Linked DNA regions of Cricetulus griseus. The protein of the gene in region 2 purifies or fractionates together with the protein of the main gene of each other region. This does not show direct contact. Links are inferred from orthologs where the notes say so. Each region holds a gene or a part of one and is shown on either strand. Other genes may lie near its edges. The genes, in order: Grb2 and Erbb3.

Region 1 (2,990 bases), on a different chromosome or scaffold from region 2:
AGCACCACTCTGTGCACCAGGCTGCCTTCATCCACACTGAGGATCTGCAGTTGTCAGTCAGGTAGTTTTGCCACCAGGGAGAAGTGCTTCCAGACCCGGGTGGGCTGTCTGCTCGAACCCCTGTCCTTTGCTTAATTACAAGCAGGGGTTTCAGTCAGAACTGCCTTTTGACTTGTAGGACCTAAGTGACTGGAACACAGACATTTTTACACCTGTTAGCAGAGCTCTGGTGCGCACAGCCTATGTTGTTGCCGCCCCCACTAGTTTAATAGGCCCATTGGCCATCGTCAGTGACATAGGTGTTTGTACCCGAGTGGGTTTTGGATATCAGTAAAGGATTACTCTGAACCCAGCTAGGATTGAGGGATGGTGGGATGGAGGAAGTTAGAGGGAGGCTGCCTTGGGAGTGGGTGGACAGTGAGCAGTGGCTGACAAGGCAGCTGGCAGCATGAGGAATGAACGCCGTTCTCGTCCTCTGCTTGTCTTTTGCAGCAGCCAACGTATGTCCAGGCACTGTTTGACTTTGACCCCCAGGAAGACGGTGAGCTGGGCTTTCGCAGAGGAGACTTCATCCATGTCATGGATAACTCAGATCCCAACTGGTGGAAGGGGGCCTGCCATGGGCAGACCGGCATGTTTCCCCGCAATTACGTCACCCCAGTGAACCGGAACGTCTAAGAAGCAGAAGAGATTATTTAAAGAAAGTGAAAAGTTGAGACCATTCACAAGAATTGCACCCACATGCTGCCTGTCACAGCTTGTGAGGGAGTGCAGAACATCTGGCTGGGTCCTACTGGTGACCCTCTCACTTAGGTTGAAACTTTGGGGGGTGGGAAGGGGTGTTTGATTTCATAATGCCAAAACTTAACCTATTGAATTGAATTACAGTTTTTATTACAGAATCTCACTGCTGCTCCTGTTCCCCTCCTATCTCCTTTTCTCATCCTTTCTTTCCTGTCCTTCAGTGCATGACGTTTGAGGCCACGTATAGTCCCAGCTGATGCCAATACTAAAAGAAACCAAGTGGGCTGGTACTTTCTCTATGCAAAATGTCTGTGGAGATGAATGGACTAAAAGAGCTATATTCTTCACACACAAGGGGCGGCCAGGGCACCTGGGGCCCGTGAATGGGCTTCTGCCAGAGATGCCTGAGGGCATCTGCCTCCAGCCCAAGCCTGGAGCATCCCGTCAAGGTTGGACTTTGTAGGGGAAGGAGGCACGCCACCCACCTCTGGTCCCCGAGTCACTGCAGACCTGCGCCTCCTCCCACTGTCTCCCCGTCAGGTGTTGCTCAAATGTTGTTTTTCATAGTGCCTTTTTTCTTATTTCAAGGGTGTTTTATGAGTGGTGTTTTTACTTTTTTTTATATAAGTTAAAGACAGTCCAGAGCTTTTCCTATCCTGTATAATATTTTCCTCTCAGGGCAGGGGAAACAGGATAGAGAAAGGAAACAGGAGAAGCAGAGCGTGGTATTGCCTGTCTGGAGGGGCCAGAGGTCTTGGAAGACTCTGCTCCCTGGCTGTGGTCTGCCCTTTCCATGCCTGGAGCCAGTGAGTGTCAAACACAGAAGACAGGGGCAGGTGGCAGCCAAGCTGTCCTTCCTCCCCTGTCACAGGCCTGCACTCGGGTGGGAGCTGAGAGTATGGCTTTTCGTTGTCCTTGCTCTTAGAATTAGGTCCTTGCTCTCAATTGTGTATTTTCCAACCTGCCCAAGAGCGCAGATAGCAGGGTTGGGGCTTGGTGTGTTCACAGCTGTTCTGCTGCCGCATCCCATGAAGCTGTGTGAGGTGGGAAAGAGCACAACCCATGCAAAGAAAGCTCTTTGTCTGTCTCCTGTGAGCTTCCAGTCCTCTGTACACCAATCTCTGCACCTAGCCTCCTTCCCACAGCAAAACAAGGCTCCTCCTAGTCTCCCTTGGAGTTGGCAGTGTCCTTGGGCTGCTGGGCTCTTCGGGGTGGGGTCTCCCCTGGACTCTGTTGGGAGATGGACTCAGCCCTGCCCTGGGGGCGGCCTTCCAAATGGAGCTGTCCCTGCCCTCCTGGTTTTGCTTCCTCTTTCCCTGCTGATGATAAAATGAAATAATGAGTTACACCTGGGCCATTTGATTGTTTTATTTTGGAATTGGTGTATATCATGAAGCCTTGCTGAACTAAGTTTTGTGTGTATATATTTAAAGATCAGTGTTTAAATAAAAAGACCTATGTACTTACTCCCTTAACTTCTGCGAATAGCGATTTGGTAGGTAGTGATTAACTGTGAATAAACATACAATGAATTCTTCTCAGTGCATCTTCTTTTCTCCCTGATGACGTCTTTATATTCTAGACAGGGTCTCTCACTGTTGCCCTGCCTGACCTGGAATTCACAGTGTTCCACCTACCTCTGCCTCACGGATGCTGGGATTAAACACAGGCTGGTACATCTAGCCCCTGTGGCCCCAGAACAAGTGATTAGTTCATCATTTGGAAATTGGTTTAGATCAAGAGCTGGGCTTACAAGGCTCCTCCCGATCTCAGAGGAAGTAGCTGAGACCCCTTGACTATGACTGCTGCTTCTAGGGTGAGACAAGGCTCTTAAAGCAAGGGTTAATAGTTGAACAAAAGAGAAATGACTTTGAGCAAACAACCTCATTGTGGTATCACAGCTAGGGAGTTTCCGGGTGCCACCCCTCCCCTGCAGTGAGTTAATAAGCAAGAGGGCGGTGCTCCTGTCCCCTCTGCTGGCTCTGGTTCCATGCAGACTACCCTGAAGCTAAGCAGAAGTTCCCAACATGAGGTCATCAGAGTAAAAGGCAGAAACTGACATTGCACCCCATTTATGTCCTTGATCAGTTTGACCCCTTCCTGGTTTGGGGGCTGGGAACCCGAAGCCTTGCACTTGCCAAGCACTCTGTCTCTGAGCTGGGTCTCCACTCAGTGGCTTCAGAGTTTAGCATCAGGAGAAATGGTATGACTGGCCTTCAGGCAATCATGTTGAGGCACAGATTTCG
Region 2 (3,816 bases):
ACACACACCATAGCACACATGCACACACTGTGCCCATATACACAATAAATATTTATAAAGTAATTGTTTTTACATGCAACTCCTATAAAAGTAATTTTTTAAAAGATTTTATTTATTATGTATGCAGTCTTCTGCCTGCATGCCGGCAGAGGGCACCAGATCTCATTCAAGGTGGTTGTGAGCCACCATGTGGTTGCTGGGAATTGAACTCAGGACCTCTGGAAGAACAGTCAGTGCTCTTAACCTCTGAGCCATCTCTCCAGCCCTAAAAGTAATTTTTTAAGAGACAATAGAGACTCAGGTCCAAGAACCTCTACATATAAAAGCTTCTTTCAGAACAAACCTATTGTGGCACCGGGAGCCCCAAACTGAGCTCCTAAACAGAGGAGACTCCACTCCCACCCCTCTTGAGTATCTCATTCCCCATCTCTGGCTCACTACAATTTTTCTTGAATTAAACTCCCGAGCTTATTCTAGCTTCCCCTAACGGTGGTCTACTTTCGTGCTGTGAGTTTCTCTTCCTCCAGTCCTTTACTCTGTAGCTGGAAGTGAATTTTTTTTAGATTTATTTATTTATTATATATATAGTGTCCTGCCTGCATATATGCCTGCCAGAAGAAGGCACCAGATCTCACTACAGATGGTTGTGAGCCATCATGTGGTTGCTAGGAATTGAACTCAGTAGCTCTGGAAGACCAGCTAGTGTTCTTAACCACTGAGCCATCTCTCCAGCCCTGGAAGTGAGTCTTAAGTAGCTGAACCTCTCTTCTTGCTTCTCCCCTCATCCTAATTAAATGTCCCCACTCCCCCACCTCCTTTTCATCCCATCACTCACCCCTGAGTGCAGTTCTCATGGCAGGGCCGACATTCATTCTGAGCATCTGGGTACTTGTAGATTGGACCCTTGGCACCTAGGATTCCATGGGGGCAGCTGTTGACACAGTGGGGCCCATCACGGAAATGGGTACATTGAGCACAAGCCTCAGAGCCCTGAGTAGAAGAGGATTGTGGAGAATGAGATCTCAGTATTAATTCCAGCCTTTATCCCTTCAGGATTCTCATGTACAGATCCCAGGGTTCTCAGGCTCCCCTGGGAATTTGGCCATATCATTCTGTAGACATTGCCCATCTCCCTCACAGATCCCAAGGCTGCTACTGTACCGAGCCATTGCACGTGCTGGTGCCCTCCATGGGAAGGCATTCTGGGTGGCAGGAGAAACATTCACCCTCATGAGCAAACTCCCGAGGCTCCCTGCAGTGGGGGACAGACAGAGGGAGGTCACTTCCAAAGTTCTGACCTTCATGCCCTTATTCTGTAATAAGGGCTTTCTGCTTCATGCTCACCAAGACACAAGCAGAAAGCTGCCTACAAAGCCAGGGGTGGTGGCTCACATCTGTAATCCCAGAACTTTGGAAGCTAAGGCAGGAAGATTTCCATGAGTTCAAGGCCTGCCTGGATTACAGAGTGAGACCCTGTATAAAAACAAAAGCTAGCAGGCAGGCAAGCAAACAAGAAAGAAATAGAGGACCAGATGTGGTCATGCACACCTTTAACCTCAGCGCTCAGGAAGCAGAAGCAGGAAGATCTCTGAGTCCTGTCTGGTCCTGCATAGCAAGTTCCAGGCCAAGACTATAAGGTCCTGTCTGTCTGTCTCTCCCTGCCCCCACTCCCTCACTCCCTTGCTCCCTTCGATCGAGCCAGACACGGTGGCTCATAGCTGTAATCCCAGCATTTGGAAGGTTTAGACAGAAGGATTTAAGGCCCGTCTGGGCTACAGAGTGAGTGGGGGGTGGGAGGAGGGGGGGAAGGGAGAGTGAAAATCACAGTTCATTAGCGCCTGAACTCCTCCATCCATCCCTGGGCCTTACTCCACCCTCTTGGCATCCTCCACACTGTACCCTTTCAGGAAGTTGCAGTGAGTCACACAGACACCTTCCCGGCTGTAGTTTCGACAAGACAAGCACTGGCCAGGGCCTGGGCCCCAGCATCCCCCGGAGGAGCACAGTGGGTCACACACTTTACCCTCTGCCTCTGGAAAAGAACAGACAGGTTAAGAAAAGACTCAGGACTCCCAGGAAGCCTTCTTCTGAACAGTTCTTCATTGCTGCCACGTCCCACGTCCTTACTGGCTCCATCCCTCAAGCCTACTCCACTTTGAGGGTCTCACCTCCCCAACCACCAGTTCTTACTCCTGGTAGGCCCTTCCTCTCACCACATTCTCTCGGAGACCGATTATACTTGATGTCAAGTCTGTCATCCGAAGGCCCCCGGAGCAGTCTTGTCCAGTTCAGAGAATGGTGGTAGCAGAGCTGCTGATTGGCACTTATGTAGACACGCCCAGCACTAATTTCCTTCAGGGACCGGAGGCCCAGGGATGTGACATTCAGGTTCTTCATGATCAACAAGGAGAAGCCCCGGCTGGAATAAGGAGGCAGAATTAGAAGGCAGACTATAAAGGGAAAGTGGGATTTATTTCCACTCAACAAATTTGCTCCAGGCTAAGTTAGAGCCATGGAGAGGGATTCCCTCTTTTGGCGGGATTGTTTTCTGAGACAGATCTTACTACATCTCTGAGGCAGGTCAGGAATTCACTATGCAGCCCAAGCTGGTCTTGAACTTGCTGTGACCCTCCTGGGTCAGCCTCTGCAATGTTAAGGTTACAACCCCACATTTGCCCCCCCCCATTGTGTTAGCAGACTACTGGGGGCTGTTGGTTGGGAGACGCGCTGTGTTTCATAAGGAGACGCCCATCGCAATGTCTGGAGAAGATATCACCTCCACCTTACTCACTTGTAGAGGCTTCTGCCCCCGATGGTTGTCAGGTTGGAAAACACACTGAAGTTGTGCATGTGAGGAGGCCAGGACTGGATGTTTAGGTACCCTGAGGGGTTGGAGAGAGGCATATAAGCAGGGAGTCTTCTCCTGCCCTCAGGTTCCCTGTCACTGTCCCACTGTGCCTTGGAGTGTGACTTTTTTTTTTCTTTCCTTTTTTTTTTTCGAGACAGGGTTTCTCTGTATTGTTTTGAAGGCTGTATGGAACTCTCTCTGAAGACCAGGCTGGACTCAAACTCAAAGAGATCCATCTGCCTGTGCCTCCCGAGTGCTGGGGTTAAAGGCGTGCGCCACTTCTGTCCAGAAGAGTGTAACTTTTTTTTTATTATTATTTATATACAGCATTCTGCCTGCATGTATGCCTGCATGCCAGAAGAGGGCACCACATCTCCTTACAGATGGTTGTGAGCCACCATATCGTTGCTGGGAATTGAACTCAGGACCTCTGAGCCACCTCTCCAGTCCTCGAGTGTGACTTCTCTTAAGTGGTTTAACTATAATGCATGTCGGTGGGTCATCTGCTCCTTCCAGCAAAGGAAGTCTTTGATCTTCCTCACCTGTGATCTCCCGGACCGTCCTGAAAACATTGAGCTTCTCTGGGTCCAGCGCAGGGATCTTGTGCCAGGGGTCTCTGGGGGAATAGTGAAAACTTTTCAACAAAGAAGAGGCATGCATGACTCAGTGGTAATAAACACATCACACCTCAAAACACAGTTTCCAGATGTCATTTTTCCCTGCTGTGCCGGGGATCAAACCCAGGGCTTTAAATATGCTAAGCAAGCTGTGGTATTATAACCCAGCCTCTTGGCTCCTAAATCATAGTCTTCATCCTAAGGAAACAGAACTCCTTGGAGAGGTGCTGGTGGTGTGGGAAACACAAACAAATACATGCGGCCGGAGCATCTCTCGCCAAAAAAAAAAAAAAAAGAAATGGCCCAGGGCTGCTCACAACTGTCTGTAACTCCAGCTCCATAGAATTAGAC

Evidence for each region.
Region 1: the proteins of Erbb3 (region 2) and Grb2 purify together in Homo sapiens (affinity purification with mass spectrometry; 3 studies listed by BioGRID and IntAct, with this or other methods). This does not show direct contact. The link is inferred for Cricetulus griseus from reciprocal best matches to the Homo sapiens genes ERBB3 and GRB2.

What each region holds. Positions count from the first base shown.
Region 1 is NC_048600.1:128,239,759-128,242,748, reverse strand, and holds the end of Grb2 (growth factor receptor-bound protein 2), read left to right. Parts: intron 1-492; coding exon 493-678; 3' UTR 679-2,281; downstream 2,282-2,990. UniProt on the Homo sapiens protein: Non-enzymatic adapter protein that plays a pivotal role in precisely regulated signaling cascades from cell surface receptors to cellular responses, including signaling transduction and gene expression.
Region 2 is NW_023276806.1:129,327,045-129,330,860, reverse strand, and holds part of Erbb3 (receptor tyrosine-protein kinase erbB-3), read right to left. Parts: intron 3,465-3,816; coding exon 3,391-3,464; intron 2,883-3,390; coding exon 2,792-2,882; intron 2,420-2,791; coding exon 2,214-2,419; intron 2,033-2,213; coding exon 1,900-2,032; intron 1,253-1,899; coding exon 1,162-1,252; intron 991-1,161; coding exon 836-990; intron 1-835. UniProt on the Homo sapiens protein: Tyrosine-protein kinase that plays an essential role as cell surface receptor for neuregulins.